Macaca mulatta: one gene and its partners. The protein of the gene in region 4 purifies or fractionates together with the protein of the main gene of each other region. This does not show direct contact. Links are inferred from orthologs where the notes say so. Each region holds a gene or a part of one and is shown on either strand. Other genes may lie near its edges.

The links.
Region 1: the proteins of HSCB (region 4) and ISCU purify together in Homo sapiens (affinity purification with western blotting; 3 studies listed by BioGRID and IntAct, with this or other methods). This does not show direct contact. The link is inferred for Macaca mulatta from reciprocal best matches to the Homo sapiens genes HSCB and ISCU.
Region 2: the proteins of HSCB (region 4) and SDHAF1 purify together in Homo sapiens (co-immunoprecipitation; 3 studies listed by BioGRID and IntAct, with this or other methods). This does not show direct contact. The link is inferred for Macaca mulatta from reciprocal best matches to the Homo sapiens genes HSCB and SDHAF1.
Region 3: the proteins of HSCB (region 4) and SDHB purify together in Homo sapiens (co-immunoprecipitation; 3 studies listed by BioGRID and IntAct, with this or other methods). This does not show direct contact. The link is inferred for Macaca mulatta from reciprocal best matches to the Homo sapiens genes HSCB and SDHB.
Region 5: the proteins of HSCB (region 4) and SUCLG2 purify together in Homo sapiens (affinity purification with mass spectrometry; 3 studies listed by BioGRID and IntAct, with this or other methods). This does not show direct contact. The link is inferred for Macaca mulatta from reciprocal best matches to the Homo sapiens genes HSCB and SUCLG2.

The regions. Positions count from the first base shown.
Region 1 is NC_133416.1:115,689,574-115,694,476, forward strand, and holds the start of ISCU (iron-sulfur cluster assembly enzyme ISCU), read left to right. Parts: upstream 1-1,461; 5' UTR 1,462-1,514; coding exon 1,515-1,628; intron 1,629-2,516; exon of another isoform or gene 2,517-2,636; intron 2,637-2,922; exon of another isoform or gene 2,923-2,980; coding exon of another isoform or gene 2,981-3,019; intron 3,020-3,137; coding exon 3,138-3,251; intron 3,252-4,144; coding exon 4,145-4,255; intron 4,256-4,903. Other genes in the region: SART3 (spliceosome associated factor 3, U4/U6 recycling protein), read right to left, coding at 1-82.
Region 2 is NC_133424.1:47,250,945-47,254,424, reverse strand, and holds SDHAF1 (succinate dehydrogenase assembly factor 1, mitochondrial), read right to left. Parts: upstream 1,770-3,480; 5' UTR 1,667-1,769; coding exon 1,319-1,666; 3' UTR 1,080-1,318; downstream 1-1,079.
Region 3 is NC_133406.1:223,985,178-223,989,584, forward strand, and holds part of SDHB (succinate dehydrogenase [ubiquinone] iron-sulfur subunit, mitochondrial), read left to right. Parts: intron 1-3,252; coding exon 3,253-3,389; intron 3,390-4,114; coding exon 4,115-4,231; intron 4,232-4,407. UniProt on the Homo sapiens protein: Iron-sulfur protein (IP) subunit of the succinate dehydrogenase complex (mitochondrial respiratory chain complex II), responsible for transferring electrons from succinate to ubiquinone (coenzyme Q).
Region 4 is NC_133415.1:22,808,309-22,813,508, forward strand, and holds the start of HSCB (iron-sulfur cluster co-chaperone protein HscB), read right to left. Parts: upstream 3,338-5,200; 5' UTR 3,285-3,337; coding exon 3,049-3,284; intron 931-3,048; coding exon 834-930; intron 202-833; coding exon 112-201; coding exon of another isoform or gene 107-111; intron 1-106.
Region 5 is NC_133407.1:131,056,390-131,060,796, forward strand, and holds part of SUCLG2 (succinate--CoA ligase [GDP-forming] subunit beta, mitochondrial), read right to left. Parts: intron 1,945-4,407; coding exon 1,845-1,944; intron 983-1,844; coding exon 892-982; intron 1-891. UniProt on the Homo sapiens protein: GTP-specific succinyl-CoA synthetase functions in the citric acid cycle (TCA), coupling the hydrolysis of succinyl-CoA to the synthesis of GTP and thus represents the only step of substrate-level phosphorylation in the TCA.

The DNA of each region.
Region 1 (4,903 bases), on a different chromosome or scaffold from region 4:
CATCCTCCTCTCCGTCAGCCTTGGGCCCAGCCTTGGACTCAGCCTCAGGTTCTGAAGCCGAGGTTGCGGCCGCAGTCGCCATCTTGCGCTTCTAATGACTCTCGGGTCTTCCCGCGGCCGCCAAAGACCCGCTGAGGCAGAAGCTGCCCGCGGCGCGCGCCTTATCAAAAGCCCGTTTTCTTGACACTGAAAGGGAAACTGGGAACCTTAGATAACGAGAAAATCTCCAAATACACTAAATTCATTTTATTTTATACCCCTGTAAAAACTCCCACCAGAGAAAAAACTCATTATCATGGCATACGTTCCGTCACAACTTCGGACAGAAGTTGGGTCTTTGGGCAGGAAGTGGAGGCCATAGAGGAAGTCATGGAGCGAGCGTGGTGTCTGTAGTAAAGAATTTGGCGCCATCTTGAGAAGGTCAAAGTGATTCTTAGAAAAAATACCTTACTTATCGCCTAGCGTGACCTGGCGCTTGGGTTTAGTCTCCCCAGCAACTGCACCTCAAACGCAAAGAAAACTGCAGGTCCTCGGGGAAGGATCGATTTCACCATTCAAGAGAAAAATCCATTTCCCAAAGAAATTCTTCCCCTTTATGTAAACATCTGGTACCTAGGAGGCGTTAAATACACTTGAGTTTTCCGGTTTTATAAGCTCACATACTGCAAACCAACAGTAAATACGCATTTCTTTAGAAATTCTTAATTGCTAGGCACCGACATATAAATTGAATTTGCTGTTGTTTTAGAGAGAAAAATAGACATATACTCATTTTTTTTCAATCAGGACATGGTGTTCGTTTCCTTCTTAAGCTTCCCATTGTTGAGGTAGGCAAGTACTGGAGTGTGTCTCTATCTCTACCTTGCTCCCTCATTAGCAAGCTTAATAGGCAGGAATTACGTCTGTTTTGCTTTCTGTTGGATCCCCGGGTCTAGTAGAGTGCCTTGACACATAGTAGGTACTCGACACAGATGCTGGCTTCATGATGAAGGAATTGTCCTCGAATTAATACAAAAGGGAAGATTCAGACTTAGCAAGCCGGTACCATTTGTCTAGGGACACACAGCCAGGAAGGAACCGAACCAGGATTCTAACCCAGGACTACCCAAGTTCGAATTCTAATTGAACCTAAGCCCTAAGCGACCTTGGACGGAGTGACCAAACTGCCCTGAATCTCAGCTTCCTTAGCTGCAAAATAGGGTTAGGAAAAGTGGACTCAGTGGTCCTCTGCGCCGCATTCCCACACTGCAGAAGCCTGAGATCCTCTCTCAACCAGAATCCAGCACCCAGGACAAGCCCTCTAGCGACTTCAGACCTTCCCGCTCCCGACCCCGCCCGCCCCCGAGAGGCGTGGTCAAGGCGGGGCCACAGGGCGGAGGCTTGCACGGAACGGTAAGGCGCAGGCGCAAAGCCTCGGTGACGCCAGAGAGGCGCGCTCCCAGCTCGGCGCCGACTCGCAGACGCGCCCCGCCCCTCGGCATCGCTCTGGACTGGCGCAGGCGCAAGCCGGCAAGATGGCGGCAGCTGGAGCTGGCCGTCTGAGGCGGGCAGCGTCGGCTCTGCTGCTCCGGAGCCCCCGCCTGCCCGCCCGGGAGCTATCGGCCCCGGCCCGACTCTATCACAAGAAGGTAGGGACAAACGAGGGGACACGCGGAATGCCGACTCGGGGGAGGCCTGGGCTGGAGCGGCGGCCGCGGGGTTCTACGCAGCCAGGACTAGCTGTCGCCTCCCACGTCTTTCCCCTGACTCACTTTCCCTTGCTACGCAGTGAGGCTCACTGCAACTGATAAACAACAGTTACCGCTTATCGGGCTGCGACTTCCAGGGGGCCCCGCCGCTGGCCGCGACTTCGTGCGTCCCAACTTTAAATTCGCCAACAGCCCAGGAGGCAGGGTCCTGTTGGGACTTGTCTTTTACAGTCCATTGACAGACACACCCCCGGAGCGGGCTCCGGCTTCAGCCACGCTGCTGCCCTGGCCAGATGACCTTGCGCTAGTCACTGCGCCTCTCTGAACTTGTTTCCCCAGGTGTAAATGAGGACTCTCAGCTGTCTCTTACAAAGGATACTGTGCATGGAGTCCTGTCATGGTTCCTGGCACATAGGCCCCAGCACGAGGAGACCGTTTTTGTTACTGCTTTAGGAGTGCATAGGGGAGTCAGACTTGTAACCAACATGCGTAGTGTTTTTGTTTTGTTTTGGGGGTTTTTTTGGCGGGGAAGGAGGGATAGATGCATAGTTTGCAGCCCCTTGCTGTCTGGTGACGCAAAGTCCCCCAGACGTGAGACTGCCACTCTAGAAACAGAATAAATCAACGTGGCACAAAAAGTCCCTCCGTTAGATACTATCCTATAGGGGCCTTTACTTGGAGTCAAAATCCTTAGATGGGGAGGAAAAGGGGACTGGAAGATCGGGGTGCTTACTACTAACCAGTAACCACATTAAGGCCTTCTGTGTGCCAGTTCGAATAGATGTTGATTCTGATCTGGCCTCTGCCCTTTCTCCAAGGGCTTCTTCACTCCTCCCCCTCCCGGCGGTGTGTTTCGTTGAGGGTACACCCCGAGGAAACTTGGACTAGCAGCCTTTCAGCAGCCAGGGTGCGCTGCTGCACCAGGGTGATGACAGGCTCTGAAATACGGTAATGGCACTGTTTTTATTTTGAAAGACACATAAACGTACACATTCCATAGCATTGTTCTCTGTGTAACAGTCACCTTAAGGCTTCTAAAAGTTTTCCCTTCCTGGGCCATAGTTATTTTTAGAATTTTTAAATAGTAATCATCCTTTGAGGATAGTTTTTATTTGAAAATAACAAAACTGCTGTTTGAGCCCAAGTCTGGTGATGTAGGTGGGTAAAAGTCAAGTATTTTTGTAAAAACCCTATGGAATTAAGACATGATTTCACTGATATTTTTTTCTTCTAGGTGTCGCTAATCTGTGAAGTAGTTGTAGAGGAGACACAAAAGGAATTGGGGGTCACAAATGGTTCTCACTGACATGAGTGTAGACCTTTCTACTCAGGTGAAATTTGGTGATTGCCTGCCAGGTTCAAGATGCTGACTTCCAGGAGCTTGCCACCATACCAGAGACCAGCACCAATAGAGAGTGAACACGATTTATCTTAACCCTCTCATTTTAGGTTGTTGATCATTATGAAAATCCTAGAAACGTGGGGTCCCTTGACAAGACATCTAAAAATGTTGGAACTGGACTGGTGGGGGCTCCAGCATGTGGTGACGTAATGAAATTACAGGTATGGCTAGTCTTTAATAGTGATAACAATAATCCCTTTAAGTTTACAAAGCACTTGCACATACAGCATTTCACTCGGTCTCCATCTTTATTCCTGTGAGATGGGATGAGTCCATGTTAGACATGATTGGAACAGGGCCTCAATCGTAGCTCTCCTGCTAGGCTAGTGTACTATGCCGACTTTTTCCGAAATAGAAAAGTAATCTCATTTTTGTACTCACTGTATAAGTTTAAATTCCAACTTCAGCCAACGAAAGAGTTTTGTAAATTTTACTGATCAAAGGAAAATCCCAGTGAGCTAGCAGTCCCCAATGAGATAAGAAACACAGTAAATTAAACCTGTCCCCAGATTGGGAGCAACATGAAGATAGTGTCTAGTGCTTTGGGTAAACTGTTGTTGTAGCGCCAATCTGCTGCTTCATGGTGAGTGGGCAGCTTGCCAGAGATCTTCATACCTATCTTGGAATACAGAAACAAAACAGGAGGAAACCACTAAGTATAATCTGCTGCCCAAGAAAAAAGTATTAACCAGAGACCTTTATTGTGTACTCTCTCAGTGTTTAAGAGGCAGATTGCCCCAGCAGCTGTGAGCAGACTGCCTCAAATAGAAGTTCATAGCCAAAATGCAAGCCAGAGTCGCAAAACAAAATAATATTGGGGTGGAGGAACATATTTTTCAGCTGATCTTTGTCAGTTGGGCCTGGATAGTTGTCCCTGCATTTCACTTTTCATCACTGAGCTCTCTGAAACAAGGCAAAATCAGTAATTAATACCATCACTTAGTATGGAAAGCAAGCCCAAAGCCCTTGGGGAAGGCCCCAATGAAACTTCGTGAGTGCCAAGTTCCAGAGGGTGGTCCTAGGACTCACCACTTAACTCTTGTCTCTTTTCTAGATTCAAGTGGATGAAAAGGGGAAAATTGTGGATGCTAGGTTTAAAACATTTGGCTGTGGTTCTGCAATTGCCTCCAGCTCATTAGCCACTGAATGGGTGAAAGGAAAGACGGTAAGGTTGCTCACAAATCTGACAGAATGAAATTGCATTCACCCCAAGCCTGTCTCTTGACGGGTCTAATGGGTCAAAAACAACCATAACTTTTTTTTAATATTCTGAATTTTTAAAGTTTCTGCTATACAGATGTTGATTATATTAATTCTTCAAATTGGGAATTATAGATCATTCTAGATGATGTTTGGGTTTTTTTCTTGTTGATCATTTTGTTTGTTTGTTTGGGTGTTAATTACATACAAAAAAGATCCTCACCTGTCCCTCTAACAAAATAGAATTTAGAAGAAATCTTTGGCTTTCTCTAAGGTTACCAATACTCTTATAATTTGTCAAGTCAGAGAGTTGTTATATGGTAGTTATTTTCTTGCTTATTTCCTCTCATGTTTCAGGAAGGGTTCTAGGTGGCTTACAAGGATTGGTGAAATAAACTAGCGTGTGTTAAAAGAGGGATTAAAGAATCAAAAACACAGCAAGGGTAGGGGCAAAGTGAACAACGAAATCAGAACAGTGATCCAGGTGGCTGATCACAAGCCCTCTAAAGGCAGAGATAATAAAGAGCTAGAACTTCTCTTTCATCCCTTTCTCTCCGAAGTGTCTTTCCCTGGTAGCTGCAGAGGTCAAAGGTCCCAAAAGCAGTGAAGAGCT
Region 2 (3,480 bases), on a different chromosome or scaffold from region 4:
CATCCATCCTCCCTTTGGTCTGAGGTCTATGCTCCTTACCTGTGGTCCTCCTCCCCACAGCTACATCCACAAGAACTCATTTCCACTTACTTAACTGACATGGGTGCAAATACAGCTCAGTGATGCAAACTGCATCCCTCCACAGAATGTCTAGGGCAGGCCCATATGGGGACACAGGAGGGAGTATACCTGTGATCTATGGGGTTCATCTCCCCTCCCCTGCCCCAGGCCTTGTCGTTCATTGTAGCTGAGGCTGGACCCTTCAGCTGCGTTTGAGAAATTTCCAGGTCTGAGACCCCCACTACTGCCTCAGAGGCTTTGAGCCAGTTCTCAGCTCCACCATTTCCTGTCCCACACAAAGATGTTAAACAACTTGCCCTCCATTAGGGAGCCAACTGGGGTATCTTTGGGGGTTAAGCCAGGATGAACCCCCTCCACAAATCTGCCCAGGGGAGAGAACTATGCTGCTTCAATCAATGTGCCAGTCTAGAGGACTCCGGAGGGAGTCAGATTCCCACACCTATTACCTCCCAGATGGTCCCTTCCAGGTGTCTGTGTGTGTGTGCGGTGGTGGTGGTGGGGGGGGGGGTTTCAAAAATCCTCAAATATATAAAAGCTTTAAGACCACCAACAGGAAAGTAGACATATCCCCAATTTTATTCCCTTTGTCCAACATTCTGAGAGGGAAGGGGCAAATGAGTCAACGTTGCCCCTCAAAACCATCAAGTAGGGCCCTTTAGTTGATCAACCAGGGTGACAGACCGCTAGCCCCTTCCTCGTGGTCCTGGCTTGTCACAATTAATGGGGGAAAGTTTTCCCAAAGGGGATTCCGGGCTTCTCACCGCTTGATCAGGGAACCTTCCCAATACTTTCTCAGCAAAAAGTCTGCACTTCTCAGAGTTAAATATAGGAGAGGGGAGACTCGAGGAGCCAGAGGTGGGTGTGTTCTCAGGGGTCAAGAGAAGGGTGTCTCAGGCTCTCCCTGTCCAGCAGGGGGCGTCCTGGCTCCCCGTACCTTCGGGCAAGTAGCTCTCGGCTTGACACTGTCCAGCCCGCCGGCGTCCCAGGCCGCCCCAAGCCCTCATGGGGGAGGAGCGCCGACCTGTCTCCAAGCACCGGAAAAGGTGGGCCTCTCTTGCCGTCCATCATGAGGCTCTCTAGGCCCCCTGCGTCGCCAAGGGGCAGTCTCTGACATCCCCAATTCGTCGAGCTAGTCTCTCGAGATCTCTCACCTTAGGCGGGTTCCCCAGGCCCCCCACGCAGTCAGGCGAGCCTCCTGGCTCCACCACGCCATCGAGCGAGTTCGGCTCTTCGCCAGTCACCGTCCGTCGGGCCGGGTCTCCGGTGCCCCCGTGCTGTCGTGGGGGTTCCTTGGACCGTCGCCGTCGTCAGGCTGGGAACCCACGCCGCCAGGCTCCTCGGTCGGGGCCCGCGGGCGTACGAAGGCGCCCATGGCGGTGGCGTGGCCTGAGCGTAGCAGCTGCAGCTGGCGCCGCCCGCGGCGGTACAGGTACTCGATGCGCAGCACGTCGGAGCGCGGCAGGCCCGCGTGCTGCCGGAACTCGGCCCGCACTCGCGCCTCGGCGCCCGGTTTCCCGCGTCCGGCACGCAGCAGATCGCGGTACAGGCTCAGAACCTGCCGCTGCAGCCGGCTGTGCCGGCTCATGACCGCGGCTAGGCAGAGACGCTCAGCGAACTCCCTGCTAACCGCCGAGCCGCCACACAGCGAGCCAAGGCCAAAGGGCAAAGCCACAGCCACTTCCGCCCTGCGCTTCCCTTGGCCCCCAACTCCCGCCTCCCGCCATCCGGCGCTGCCGCGTCTGATTGGCTGTCGTTGCTGTTGCACCACAGCGGGCTGGGAGAAGTGGGCGGAGTCTCTGGTCGCGGCCTCCCCTGTAGGGAACACGTGTTCTTGAAGGGACTGCAGTTCTGGGGATCCTGGCACCTGCGTGTCGTAGGAGGAGGTCGCTATGTGTTCGGACTCCTAGGTCTTGGGTCGGAGGGAACAGAGGGTCCTGACCTAACTCCTGCGTTCTGGGAGAAGAGGAAGCTAGGGTTTGTTTTTTTGTTTTTTTGTGACGGGGTCTCGCTCTGTCGCCCAGGCTGGAGTGCAGTGGCACGATCTTGGCTCACTGCAGCCTCGAACTCCTGGGCCCAAGCGATCCTCCCACCTCAACTTCCCGAGTAGCTGGAACCACAGGTGCGCGCAACCGCGCCCCCTATTTTATTATTATTATTATTTGCAGAGATGGGGTCTCGCTATGTTGCCCAGGATGGCCTCGAACTCCTGGGCTCAAACGATTCTCAGCCTCCCAAAGTGTTGGGATTCCAGGCGTGAGCCACCGCGGCCTGCTACGGGTTCGGACTTTGGGTCCCAACGGCACGGAGCACTGGGAGAGACACTGGGCACAAGCGTGCTCTTGCCGTCAGTTACTGATTGAAACCATCTCGGGAAGCTCCGTGCGTTCCCTCGTCCGGGGCAGGTCTGTGTCTGGGGTCCCAGCCCTAGGCACGTGCAGAGGGACGAGGCCCCGTAGGGAAATGGCTCTCGGCTGGTTGGACAGGCTTCTCCGTGCTAGGGGAAGACAAGCAGAGCGGGTGTGGGCGCCAAGCCCCCAGAGGCAGCGTGTGGCTTTAGGAGCTGGGTTGGTCGCGCCCTCTGCAGGTGGGAGTCGGGGCACTGGGCAGCGGTGTTTGGGTCCTCACGGACTGTTAAAGCCGGGAGTCTGGGACGCCCTGAACAGTGGACTAGACTGGCAGCCCGTTGTCCTCCCAGGAGCTTCAGGTCGTAGGCCGCAATGCCGTTGTTGTCCCCGCGGGCCGCCTGGAGGCGTCCTGGTAGCGCCAGGGAGGCCCGCAAGGACACAGCATCCTCAGGCCCCACCAGCACCGGAGCTTGGGGGACCGCTCGGTGACAACCCCAGACCCCTCCACCCAGCGTGCAACTGCGGCTCACACACTTGGGCCGGCAGCCAGCTGGGGGTCCGTTCCTCTTCAGAGAGGAGAAGCTGGTCAGGGGCGGAGATTAGGCTTGGAGTTTCGGAGTCAAGGGAGAATCAGAAACCACTGTGAATCCTGCCTGTCGGGTGTATGTATGTCTATCAAAAATACATGTCCTAGAACAAGCGCGGTGGCTCACACCTGTAATTCCAGCCGTTTCGGAGACTGAGGCGGGCAGACCACCCGAGGTCAGTAGTTCAACACCAGCCTGATCAACATGGTGAAACTTCTGCCTTTAGGTTCAAGTGATTCTCGTACCTCAGCCTCCCCAGTAGCTGGAATTATAGGTGCACACCAGCACATTGGGCTAATTTTTTGTATTTTTAGTAGAGACGGGGTTTCACCATATTGGTGAAACTACAGCCTTGATCTCCTGGGCTCAAGCAATCCTCTCACCTCAATATGTCCAGTAGTTAGGATTACATGAACATCCCACCACACCTGGATAATTCTTCTTTTATTGTTTTTTATAGAGACAAA
Region 3 (4,407 bases), on a different chromosome or scaffold from region 4:
TTATCGACCTTCAATTTAAAGGAGAGGCCCAGAGAGGGGAACGGACTTCCTCAAGGACACATAGAGAGTGACTTGAGAGCCAGGAGTCAGTCAAAGCTGTCAGACTCCAGACTCCAGATCTGCTCTCTCAGGCACTGACTTGGCTTGGAACACCTGGGATAAAATAAAAGCAGAATGTAACTTGGTTTTGTGAGGACACTGAGCTTTTTTCTAAGAGAACCCTAAAAAAAAAAAAAAAAAAAAAGGAAAAGCCAGTATAGATAATAGCTCATCGCTTTTTATCTGTTCGACTGTACATTTCAAGCATTTCAAGTCTCTTAAGACATCTGTTTTGATTCAGCTAATCTTATTTAAATCTAATTTTTGCAAATGCTGATGGATATGATGATAGTTCAGCTGAGTCCTGCTGTTCAGGGAACATTCTGCAGCAGTTAAACAGCAGCCTTCCCCATGTAAGTCCTGACACCACAGGAAAGGTAGATGCTTTTCAGTAACCTTTCCCTGTAGGTCTCTTTCAGAGCCAAGAACATAAGGTATGACCCGTCTGGACTAAAAGAAAAATGAGGCAGAATTGTATCAATTGCTGCTCCTTTTTATGCCCATCTTGTTTTCTTTTTTTTTTTTTTTTTTAATTCCCATCTTGAAAGAGAATTCCCAGAGAGCCTTTTTGAGAGAAAGGTCATTGGATTTATTTTTTTAATTTTTATGCCATTTCTTGTAAAAGCAAACTGCTCGAGTTGGATGCCAGGTGTACATAAATGTATTGATAATATCCAGTCTCTTGCTTAAGACACATCTTTGTGTTCTCTTAAACTCTTACTAAGATTTACATGAGAGGGAGAGAGTCTCACTGTCTTTTCTCGTCTTATGAAAGTGATAACTGACTGGGCACAGTGGCTCATGCCTATGATCCCAGTACTTTGGAAGGTCTAGTGGTAGGCCAGCTTGAGGCTGGGAGTTTGAGACCAGCTTGGGAAACATAGACTCCCTTTCCATTTAAAAAAAAAAAAAAAGGTGAGGCCAAGCGTGGCGGCTCATGCCTGTAATCCCAGCACTTTGGGAGGCTGAGGCGGGCAGATCACAAGGTCAGGAGTTTGAGACCAGCCTGACCAACATGTTAAAACCCCGTCTCTACTAAAAATATAGTAATTAGCCGAGTGTGGTGGCACGCGCCTGTAATCCCAGCTACTCAGGAGGCTGAGGCAGGAGAATCACTTGAACCTGGGAGGCAGAGCTTGCAGTAAGCCGAGATCACGCCACTGTACTCCAGTCTGGGTGAAAGAGCGAGATTCCATCTCAAAAGAAAAAAGAAAATGGTGATAACCAGTGCAACTTTCTCAAGCAATCAGGTTTCTCTGACCTAATGATCTTCAAAAAACAGCTTCAGAGGACTGGCACTAGAGGTTTAGAGTACATAATCATTTTTAAACTCCGAAATGCCCGGGAAATTTGCATATACAGGAAGTAGGTCCAGGCTAAGAAAATTCTCATGTCAGGGTCCTGAGTCAGCATGTTTTTTGTTTAGTTTGCTTTGCTTTGCCTCAGTTTCACATTAGTTGATTCTTCTCCTCTTTGGAAAGTCCATGCTGAGTCAGTTTTTGTGGGTTTCATAACCCCACGGTACTATGCTGCTTATTTTAAGTAGAAAAGCCTTATGTGTGTTGAGTGTGGTAGCTCAGGCCTGTAATCCCAACACAGTGGGAGGCAAAGGCAGAAGGATTACTTGAGGCTGTGAGTTAGAGACCAGCCTGGGCAATAAAGTGAAACCCTGCTCTACAAAAAAAAAAAATTTCTTTATTTTTTTTTTTTTTGAGATGGAGTCTTGCTCTGTCACCCAGGCTGGAGTGCAGTGGCGCGATCTTGGCTCACTGCAACCTCTGCCTCCCCAGTTCAAGTGATTTTCCCGCCTCACCCTCCCGAGTAGCTGGGATTACAGGCGCCTGCCACGACTTATATTTTTAGTAGAGACAGGGATTTACCATGTTGGCCAAGCTGGTCTCGAACTCCTGACCTCAAGTTGTCTGCCCACCTCAGCCTCCCAAAGTACTGGGATTCCAGGTGTGAGCCACTTAACCCAACCTACAAAAAATTTTTTTGAATTCGTCGGGCATGGCGGCACGTGCCTGTAGTCCCAGCTACTCAGGAGGCTGTGGCAGAGGTTCGCTTGAGTCCAGAAGTTTGAGGCTAAAGTGAACTACAGTGAGCTATGACTCCCCCACTGCACTTCAGCCTGGGTGATAGAGCAAGACTCAGCCAAGAAAAAAAAAGAAGAGTTATCTCTTGATAATCTGTATCCAGGTCACCTCAACCTTAAGATGACCAAGACAGTGTTGATTTACTTTACTTTTGGGTGTTGTATCTGTTAGATTTGTGTTCAAATAACAGTGGCTTTAAAAAACATAGGCTTACAGGCGTGAGTCACCACGCCCACCGCTAGTCGGGAGGCTGAGACAGGAGAATCACTTGAACTGGGGAGGCGGAGGTTGTGGTGAGCCAAGATCGCGCCATTGCACCCCAGCCTGGACAACAAGAGCAAAACTCTGTCTCAAAAAAAAAAAAAAAACATTGACGGGTGCGCAGTGGCCCACACCTGTAATCCCAGTGCTTTGGGAGGCCAAGGCAGGCAGATTGCTTGAGCCCAGCAGTTCAAGCCCAGCCTGGGCAACATAACAAAACCCTGTCTCTACAAGCCCCGTCAGTACAAAAATTACAGAAAATTAGCTGGGTGTGGTGGGCTGCTTCTGTAGTCCCAGCTAGTTGGGAGGCTGAGGTGGGAGAATCACTTGAACTCAGGGGTTGAGGGCTGCAGTGAGCTATGATTGCACCACTGCACTCCGGCCTGGTGACAGAGTGAGACTGTTTCTTAAAAAAACAACAACAACAAAAAACACACACAGGCTGATTTTTCTCTCAAAACACTTGCCACATAGAGCTAGAACTGCTGTGGAAACTCCATGGCGCCAGTAGTGCCCAAGCCCCTGGCCTCCTCCAGTGCCATCCTTGGCATGCGGCTTCTAACCTCAAGGTTGCCATATGGTCATAGAGTGGTTTTTGGAACTCAAGCCATTAGAACCATATTCGAGGCAGGAAGAAGGAAGGAAGGGAGAAAAGGCCACAGGTACCTCTGTCAGAGGCATGTTCCATGTCAGTGCTGCCCCTGATGGCAGAGCAAGGAGGACCCAGAAGAAAGGATTTGGGGCAGGACTGATTCCAGATATGGGTGAGGATGTGTTACATGTGTGTCTCTTTCAGGCATCTGTGGCTCTTGTGCAATGAACATCAATGGAGGCAACACTCTAGCTTGCACCCGAAGGATTGACACCAACCTCAATAAGGTCTCAAAAATCTACCCTCTTCCGCATATGTATGTGATAAAGGACCTTGTTCCCGTGAGTTTCTGCATCTCTCTGGTTTTGTTTTTGTTTTTGCTTGCATGGGGGGTGGTGCTATGTGCGTTATGCTATTAGTTTTTTAGGGCAGGATTTGAGTATTTAAGGCTCCTCTTCTAGTCGGATAGTAAATAGATGGGACTATTTCCTATGTTATGGCAAGAGGAGGACCACAGTGTCACTGAGAGGTTAGGAAAATCCCCAGATCTGAGACAGTGTGACCAGAGTTTAATTAAAGAATTTGAATGGCAGAAGATAAATGCCTAGAAAATCCTCCAGCAGCTCATTTGGTGAGGTTTGTTTGAGAATAACAGGGCACAGAATTTTAGAGTTGGAACATTCCCAGAAATGAATAATTTGGCCATAACTACAAAGAAATCATGTGGAAAATACCTGTTGGGAAAGCAACAGCTGTTTATGAGTTCTACTTTAATTTCTGCCTCCCTGTATTTGACCACCTTTGCTGACGTGGTGTTTTCAAGGGCAGAAAGGACTGTGGGATTGGCAGGTTTCCCAGGTAGGTGAGGGAGACGTTTCCTAACCATGCTTAACATTGTGACCATTTCTCCTTTTGTAATCTTTGCATATATTCGTGACAAAGGAAGAGAGTCTGGCTTCTGCCTGGCATAGAGTGGACGACTAGTCAAGTGTCCAAGAAATGGGGTAAATAAAGCTGAGGTGATGATGGAATCTGATCCTTTTCTTCTTCTTCCTCTTAACCACAGGATTTGAGCAACTTCTATGCTCAGTACAAATCCATTGAGCCTTATTTGAAGAAGAAGGATGAATCTCAGGAAGGCAAGCAGCAGTATCTGCAGTCCATAGAAGAGCGTGAGAAACTGGTCATTAGTCCCTATTTATTGTTTTGATCTGAAAAATTTATTGCAAAGATGTTTGCCAGGAGTGTGACTTGTCAGGGAACATGAGCTGATGCAAGCCATTTAGTGTATCCTGGAAAGGAACTGGCACAAGGGTGGGGCAGTCATCCTCTTAGGGCCGGGTGAGTAGTGTGAACCCA
Region 4 (5,200 bases):
CCACCATGCCCGACCTCAAGCACTCTTCTGCTGAATAAAGGGGACGTGGCTGTCCTATGTCATAATGGGCATCAGGACTTCATGCACAAAAGGGTTGGGAAATCACCTTACAAGGTACAGTCCTCTGCTCAGGGGGGCGAGGAGGGTCTTATAGGCGTCATTCACCAGGGTCGAATGCTTCTCTGAGAAGTCCTTTTCAGTCTGTTAGTGGAGATGAAGATAGTACTTTACCATCCAAATTACAAAGTTTTTTTTTTTTTTTTTTTAGACAGAGTCATCCAGGCTGGAGTGGCAGTGGCATGAACTCAGCTCACTGCAACCTCTGTCTCCCACGTTCAAGTGATCCTCCTGCCTTAGCCTCTCAAGTAGCTGGGACTATAAGCGTGTGCCACTGCACTAGGCTAATTTTTATATTTTTAGTAGAGACAGGGTTTCACCATGTTGGCCAGGCTGGTCTTGAACTCCCGACTTCAAGTGATCCGCCTGCCTGGGCCTCCCAAAGTGCTGGGATTAGAGGCATGAGCCACTGCACCAGGCAGGCCCACAAAGTTTTATAATATGCTGATGGGCAGGCACCTAAGGAAGTGGTTAAGTAGAGCTGGTGTGGGATGAGATGTCTTTATACTCAGCTGATAGGTTTTAAGTTATCGGGGAAGTCAGACAAAAGCTATGAGTGAATGGCAGCTCTGGGTCTGGCAGGCTAGGGTCAGACTGCCATGGGGCAGACACAGCTGATTTTCCAGCTGGGTCCATGATAATCACATAATCACAAGGCCACTGCCACCCAGTATGCACACATATTTGGGGATTATTGGGGTTGGCCAATAAGCTACCTGAGACCTCTGGCTGAAGAAATCTGGGTGGACAAGACGCTGCAGTTGCTGGTACCTGTGCTGGAGCTTTGCAGTATCAACTCTGAAGGAACGGTTGCTGGAAAGAAATTGGGAGATTAAATTTATGCAACAGATATTTAAAGATTTGTCTACCATGAGCCTGGTTCTTGCTCTTATGGGGAAGTTGCAATAACATATACACAGATAATTTCAAAAAGTGGTAGGTCCTACGAAGGGACACAGAACAGAATCAGAGTGGGTAGCAGATGTAGTGGACAATGAGACGACACTGAACTGAAACCTGAATGATGAGTAGTCAAAGATCAGATGAAAGAGACATCCAGGTGGAATTCCAAGAGCAAGGACCTCGAGGTGGAAGCAAGACAGGGATGCCTGAGGAACTTAAAGATCAGTGTTACTGTAGCCCCTTATACATGTTCAATGACTGGTGGGGGCAGATCCCACAGTTAAGGGAAAAGGACATTCCTAAATTACACAAAGATTTTTTGCCTGGCCAAACTTTAGTCAGATTTCTGAACCTTCTCCTAGGCCCAGCTGTATGCTTTCTTGTAAAATCCAGTTTTGGCAAATAACCTTGCTAAGTCAGTTTAGCTAGAATCTTAGATATTTGATTATCCTAAATCTCTGATCAGAGTGTTCATCCTCCACCATCCCCTAGGTAATGTCTGAGCACCCTGGCCTGTCTTCAGCAAGAATACTGTTAGGTCGGTTTAGCCAGAATCCCGTTTACTCTGCTCCTTGGCTACAAATTTCCTTCTGCCCATGCTGTTTTTGGAGTTGAGACCAATCTCTCTCCCTAACTGCAAGACTCTATTGCAGTGCCCCCTCTACAAGATGATCTTTATTTTCTTTTCTTTTTTTTTTTTTTTTGAGACTGAGTCTGGCTCTGTCGCCCAGGCTGGAGTGCAGTGGCCAGATCTCAGCTCACTGCAAGCTCCGCCTCCCGGGTTTACGCCATCTCCTGCCTCAGCCTCCCGAGTAGCTGGGACCACAGGCGCCCGCCACTTCGCCCGGCTAGTTTTTTGTATTTTTTAGTAGAGATGGGGTTTCACCGTGTTAGCCAGGATGGTCTCGATCTCCTGACCTCGTGATCCGCCCGTCTCGGCCTCCCAAAGTGCTGGGATTACAGGCTTGAGCCACCGCGCCCGGCCTTTTCTTTTCTTTTTTTTTTTTTTTGAGAGGGAGTCTCGCTCTGTTCCCCAGGCTGGAGTGCAGTGGCGCGATCTCGGCTCACTGCAAGCTCCGCCTCCTGGGTTCACGCCATTCTCCTGCCTCAGCCTCCGGAGTAGCTGGGACTACAGGCGCCCGCCACCGCGGCCGGCTAATTTTTTGTATTTTTAGTAGAGACAGGGTTTCACCGTGGTCTCGATCTTCTGACCTTGTGATCCGCCCGCCTCGGCCTCCCAAAGTGCTGGGATTACAGGCGTGAGCCACCGCGCCCGGCCAAGATGATCTTGAATAAAGTCTTTCTGGTGTTTGAACAAGTGTGACTGAATAACGTTTTCTTTAATACCACCCTATCTTTTCCACAGCCCAGGTCCCTTCATCCCTGTCTCCCGGTTTATTTTAATTCAACCCCGTTCACACTCTACTCCCAGAGTCTGTCCTATTTCCTTATCAGTTCAGCTCTATCCACACTGCCCCATCTCTCCAAGATCGTCAGCCTCAGGGGAAAAAACTATTTATTGGACCCTTTCCCTCGAATTCTCACTTTTCCCTCAGGTCTCGCCTACAATATTAAGATTTTCATGCTTTACTCCCCAATTTCGGACTACACTTCTGCAGTCCTTTCTTAAATACATCAAACCAACTCTTCCAGTCTCCCGGGCCCTGCCCCTCAAGTACCCCTTCCTCAAGCTCCGCCCCTCGACTTCTCCTTCCCTTTCCCGTAGGTACCGCCCCTCAAATTTCCCTCCCCTCTAGCCTCGGCCCCCCTATTTCCTCTAACTTCAGCGCCCGCCCCTCCAGTCTCGTTCGTCTCCCTTCTCCACACCTCAACGCTGCTTCCCTCAGTCCCCGCCTCTCAATTTCCTCCTGAGAAATCAAGACACTTCTCTCACGCCTGCTCTCTAGACCTCCGCCCCCCTATCGGTCCCGCCTTCTCTTCCGCAAGCCAGATCCGTCCTCCCCTCTCGCAGGCCAGACCCCGACGTCTCTCTCGCCCGGGCCCGTTTCCCGAAACAGTCGCTCGTACCAGTCCATAAGGCTGAAGTAGTCTCGAGTGGGGTCAGGTGCCTGCAGCGCTCTGCACTGTGGGCAGAAGAACCTGTCCTCCCGCCCGGGGCCCCATGGGCCGCCGCAGTTCCAGCAGTGGGGAGAATTGCTTTCCGCCTGCGACGCAGCATCGCAGCTTAGCAGTCTCCTTCTGGGACCCCCTGTCGGCCAAAACCCCCACACCCGGAGCAAAGCCCCGACTCTCCCCCGCCACATCTCGCCGGCGGCCTAGCTAGCCGTGGTCACCCGTGGGGAAAAGCAAAGAGAGCGTCCAACCAGACTAATGCTGCTGATTGGCTGGGGAGTCGAGGGGGCGGGATCACCCGAGGGGAACCCGAGTTCTAAGTTCCGCTCTGCCTTCTAAACTACAACTCCCAGGAAGCATTGAGGCGATGCCTGACGGCCACATCTGCTGCTCCTCATTGGTCCGGCGGCAGGGGAGAGGGTTTTGATTGGCTGAGGGTGGAGTTTGTATCTGCAGGTTTAGCGCCACTGCAGGCTGAGGCTGTGGAGAGTGTGCGGCTCCAGGTGGGCTCACGCGGTGAGTCATATTGGGAACTTCTGTTGGGTGTTTGGTGGTTCGAATCCCATCTTCAGCGTTTCGTGCGAGCGGAGTCTCCTGAGCTTCGCTTTGTCTGTATTTTTGTACTGAAGGGGGAGTGTGTGGGCGACTCTCTTCCTTTTTAGTAGATCATCCTCGAGGTGAAGTTCACTTCCCGTATTACTTACAAGCTGAAACAGGCCTGAACGGACAGGATAAGAAGGAACAGAGTTGTGTTCTTCAATATCAGAGCGAAGTTACTTTGTAAAAAGTTCTATAGATGTTAGTAATCATTGCCATTCTTTAGATTCAATCTCTAAAATACTTATAGAGAGGCCAGTCTTAGCTACTGGGCGCTGCAGGAACTGGAAACGCACTGAGCTGTGTAGGAGGATGTTCTGCGTGTCCCTAAGTAAGTCCCTAAGTAAGTGTATGGGATAGGGTGGCCAGGAGTGGGTAGGAGGGAATCAGTCCTCCTTCGGACTTAGGTTTTCTACTTGAAAAAAAAGATTGTGTTTCACTTGAAAGCCTTCTGGACTTTTTTAAAAAAATTATTTATTTTTGATATAAAGTATACATGTATGAGTACCACATATGTACCTTTTTTTTTTTTTTTTTGAGACGGAGTCTCTCTCTGTTGCCAGGCTGGAGTGCAGTGGCGCGATCTGGGCTCACTGCAACTTCTGCCTCCTGGGTTCAAGCGGTTCTCCTGCCTCAGCCTCCAAAGTATCTAGGATTATAGGTGCCCGCCACCATGCCCGGCTAGTATTTTTAGTAGAGATGGGGTTTTACCATGTTGGCCAGGCTGGTCTTGAACTCCTGACCTCAGGTGATCCACCCGCCTTGGCCTCCCAAAGTGCTGGGATTACAGGTGTGAGCCACTGCACCCAGCCTAATTTCAGTTTTTTGAGGAATCACAATACTTTTGTGATTAGTGGCTATACTAATTTGCATTCCCACCAATGGTGTATGTGAACAGGGCAAGGTCAGACATAACTAGGTCCGTGAACATTTGTGTTTTTCCACAAGATCAGACTTACTGATGTTTTATTTTAATTGTAAAAGCCACGAGCTACATGGAGTTCCCAAGGAAGCAATTTTCTGTAGTACTACCTGTTTACTTGGTAGTCAGAACCATGGGCACACAGGCTGAAGCCATTCCACAAGTCAGTCAGCATTGTAAATTATACACAATAGTATAGTTATTTAATATATAAATGTTATAGGTTAAAAATCTTACATTAAAGTAACATTTAACATTCAGAGAAAAGGGGATAGGGAAAGCGGTTATCAAACCAGTCCAAGGAGAGCAATGTGGACAAAGAGAGTGTTTTGGCTTGATCTGGGGTGTCAGTGTCTTGTAAGGAAGAGTTTTTGATGTGGATGAGCCTTTGGTGGCAGATGCTGGGTGTTAATCGTGAGTGACAGCAAGATGGTGTCTGTTAGGACAGCCATTCTGACCTAATAAAGTCCTGGTCTTATGACCACAAAATTTTCTGGTAAGGACTAATAACAAAAGCGTGTACATGTTTATGTCCTTATCTGGTTTAGTACCGTCTTTTTTTGTTTTTTTTTTTGAGACAGAGTCTCG
Region 5 (4,407 bases), on a different chromosome or scaffold from region 4:
ATGCTATGTTAATGGAGCAGACAGCTGCCATCCCAAAAGGCGGGACCCTAATTTGCTGCTAGGACAGGACCTTCTAACCATGGATGCTTTTCAGGGCTGACACATGTGATCTGTGTAGTTGTATAGGGATTTAATGTTTAGCAATAGCTGTCTTGAAATTTTAACACGGGTCCCCTGCCTTTTTATTTTGCACTGGATTCTGCAACCCAGATAGCTAGTTCTAGTGTCTGGATACACAAAAGGAATGGTGAAAGGCAGACTGGCAGGAGGGAGAGTTAGGTTCTGGTCTCAGCTCTACCACTCACAATTTCATGATTGAGGCAGGCTACTTTCCTGTAGGCTTTATTTTCTATGTGTGGATGAGGGGTGTGTGTCCACATACTATACATACTTGGGTGCTTCAGCTGATCTTCCTAATGAAATATACTCCCAGCAATAAAAATGGCTCAAAATTGTAGTCATCCCAAAATAAGGAATGGGGCATTTAGAAAAACCACCACAATAGGTAATTCTGACAGACACACCTGGAGTGGAGGGCCACTGTGTGGGAGCAGCGAATGTCCCTCATTGAGTATAAGGCTGTCATAGCAAGCACTTCTCAACTAAATAGAATACATCTGTGTTCTCAGAGGGACAGCCATTGCTTGGTCACTCACCGTCACCCACTTTTGCTAAATGCTAATGATGATAAATAATATTACTATCATAGAGCCCTTTTTATTTTTCTTCAAAGACATACCACTTACTAAACAGATTAGATGAGCTTTAAAAAATAAAATGGCACATTGCCAAAGAGCAGTATTTCATTAGATTTTGTCAAAAACTAAAAGATGGGTTTCTTTTCTATTTTTTAACACATACATAGAAAATGACCCAAAGCATCCATATTACCTTGTTAACTTTCACACCTTCTTTTGGAGTTTGTTTTGTCGCTAGATTGTACCCAATCATCTGTTTAGCCAGCTGTCCCACAACATTTGGGCTAAGAGAAAGAGAAAACAAAGGGAAAATGAATGTTTGTTGAAAATCATTTTAAAGCAGAGTCCTTACACAGAGTCTCATGTCTACACTGCAAAGGGTTCACCTTCACCCTCACAAAATCCATGGGTCTTTCTGCTTCTGTGCTACGTGTTTAGCACTGTACTAGAGGTTCACTGAGAGCAAAATAAAAATGAGTTCATGAATGAATAAAGGAAACAAAAGATGCTTTGTGACCTCTTCACCCAAAACAGTTACAGTCATAGTAAAGAGATAATGCTAAAATGCATACCAGAATCAGATAAGAGTTGACTGAAGATCCGGCAGCGGAAAACTGGGGAGATATTGAACAATGAGAGGGATAGGAAGAGGGTAAAGATCAAAGTAAATAGTAAAAAGGTGTGTGACAGGAACAGGGAGGAGAGGAAAGTGTTCAGTGCTACGAGACACAGTAGATGAAGGTGAAAAGACAGGCCAAATAAAGGAAGGCTTGGACTATCAGAGGGGAGGTACCCCAGGTGCCACTGGTAATGGGGAGTCACTGCAGGTTCTTGAATAGGAGTGACATTATGGAAGTAGCATTTCAGTTGGAAGTGGTATCATTTCCAACATTTATGATGAATCATTGATTGTCTAGGAGAGAAGGACTGTCAAGTTTTCACCAATTAGTAAGAAAAATCATTTTGTGGGAGCAGAAGGGAAACTAGGCCACTGCCAGAGCCCTCTACCTATGATTTCAGTTTGTTCTAGTTGCTTTGGCCCGCTCCTACCCCACCACAAGCATCCTCAGTGTGCCTTTCAATCTTGAGCAAGATCTTCCATAACTGCTTGGCCGAAAGACAAGGAATAACAACCTCCAGACTTACTCTTTTGTTAAATGAACACCTCCTTTCAAACCACTATTGAAGACACCTTTTCCTCTTCCTCCAGCTAAGATCTGGGCTTTTAAAACAATTTCTTTTGCATCTGAAAAAGAAAAATCCAGAGTTGGTAGCTGATTTTAAATTCTTTTTTTTGTTTTTTAAGCAACAAGGAAAGCAATAATGGCACATAACTTCCGAGTAACTGGTAAAAGCTCTTTCAAACTAACTTTGAAAACAAATGCAATGAAGAACTTCAAAAAAAAAAAAAAAATCAATGTGCCTAGTACGAAGCTTGTTTACTGAGGATATTCAAATGCTTCCTACCAGTTTAATCATCGAATACTTGACCTTCCCAAGGGAAAGCAAGGCATGTGTTCCCTTGCTCTTTTGAGTGTGTCAGAAAAAGCTAAATAAACCCTGGAAGGAGGTATTAATTTTCCTGTGCAATGGCACTCCCATATGGCAGAAGCACCAGTCTGCCAGTAAGAGGAGCTAACCATCAGAGATGTCAAAGGGAAGACTGGATTATGTGGGGGAAGGTTTAAAGACAAGACACAAAGGTCATAGTTAATAACTACATTATTGGAAACCAATAGTTTTCTGAGCAGTTGTTCTATATATTGATAGGGTTAGGCAAGGGAGGAGGAAATGGATTAAAACTAAAAGCAAGCAGTATTTTAAACTTATTGGCAAGGTAACAAAATATCCTGGGGCAAAGTGGTTGTGGAATCTTTGTTTCTCTTCACACTCTAGGAATGAAAGAACTCTCTAATCTTGACTTTTTAGATGAGAGTTATTAACACAAGTACGTTCCCTTGCAGGGAAGTTGGGTGCGTGAAGTAGCCCAGTGACAAATGGGGCCTTTAGCAAACAGGGTAGCTCCCCTCCCCAACCACCAAAAAAAAAAAAAAAAAAGCCTCCAAATCAAATATGTTTAATAAACCAAACAGCACACATCTGCAGACCACAGCTGATACTGATATCCTCTGTTTGTGAGTCATCTTTATTTAAAATCAGAGAACCCAATCGATCCTCTATAAGGCCGTAAGAGTATTCTGGTTCAATATAACAGATTTAGAATCTGCAAACCCAGGTTTCAATCTGGCCTTCATCCCTCACCCAGCTGTGTGACATGAGGTGAGTTACTTAATGTCTCTGAAACTCGGTTTATTCAATTGTGAAATGATGATGAGGGTTGTTTTAGAAATTAAATGAACATACATGAATGCTTTATCCCAGAGCCTGAAAACTCATGATTAATTAAAAACTATTGCCTCAACCAGTTAGTTCATTCATTACCTTTGTATATTGTAAAGAATGAAAGGGATCATTACAGAGATGGCTAAACCAAAAAACTAACATTTTGTTGGTATCTGCCACTGCTCAATGAAGCAAGCGCTCCATTAAGTTTGGTTATTTCAGCTACTACTGTCACTGTCATCCTCACTGTTACTCACAGGCAAGCAAGTAAAGGTTCAAATGGAAAGAGCCGTGAAAGGTTTTATCATGAAGGCAATGGGGAGCTACAGAAGTATTTTACAGAAGGCATTCGGCCAGCTGATGTCACACCATTGAGGCTCCTTCACTGTCTTTATTGGTTAGTCTTCTTGTCTCCTATATTTGCTTACACTCAGAAAGCTGAAGCCCACCTTGTTCTCAGAAGCAAACACAGTTTTTTCTTAGAATGCTGTCCTGTGTACCCTCCGGCAATAATTTCTGCCCTGGATACGGACCATCACAACATCGGTCAAGCCCTGTCTTAAAATAAACTGGTTTCCATCAAGCTGAGTAGAAGACAAATTAATTGTCAGAAACTTACAAGGAAAGCAACCAAGTAAAATGAATGCACTGCATATTTAGCATACTGTAAGAACAGTAGTAAGAGCAAGGATATTGGAGTTAAACAGACCTGGTTACAATCTCCAACTGCACCTGTCACTTTCTTTGCAGAGAAGAAACAACTGAGATTCAGAAAGGTAAAAGTAGCATGCCCTTCTGTAAAGCAGTCATATTAAAGGAGTCTACAGTGTAAGGATGATGTGAAGAATAAATGAAATATAGTAAAGTGCCTGCCACAGTTTTTTAAGTCAAAATATGACAGCTATCATCATTATAATAATTTTCAGCAATTAAGAAAAAATGGCACACAGGAAGACATTTCCTATTTTTCTTTGGAAGACATCAACTGGAAAAAATACTTTTTGCTGTCTACTCAAATTTTTAATTGTGATCACTTCAAATTCTTTAAAATAACTGGCATTCCATTGCCATTATCATTTTTCATATCCTTGTCATCCCAAAGAGATGCTTTCCTCTCTGAGCTTTCCAGCAGCAAAACCTGAAAGCCAGAGAGAATACCTAATTGGGCATTGTTAATTGGCACTACATAGGCTTGATTAGATCAGCTTTAGTCATGAACCATCAAGACACAGAAACAGTTGTATCCTCAATGAAATGCTGTCAATTGAACGTGTCGCTATTTGACCTCCAGTCAAAAGCATTCCATGCAAAACAGTTGGTAGACCAAGCAACCAGTTCAGAGACTCTGAAACCATAGATCAGGACA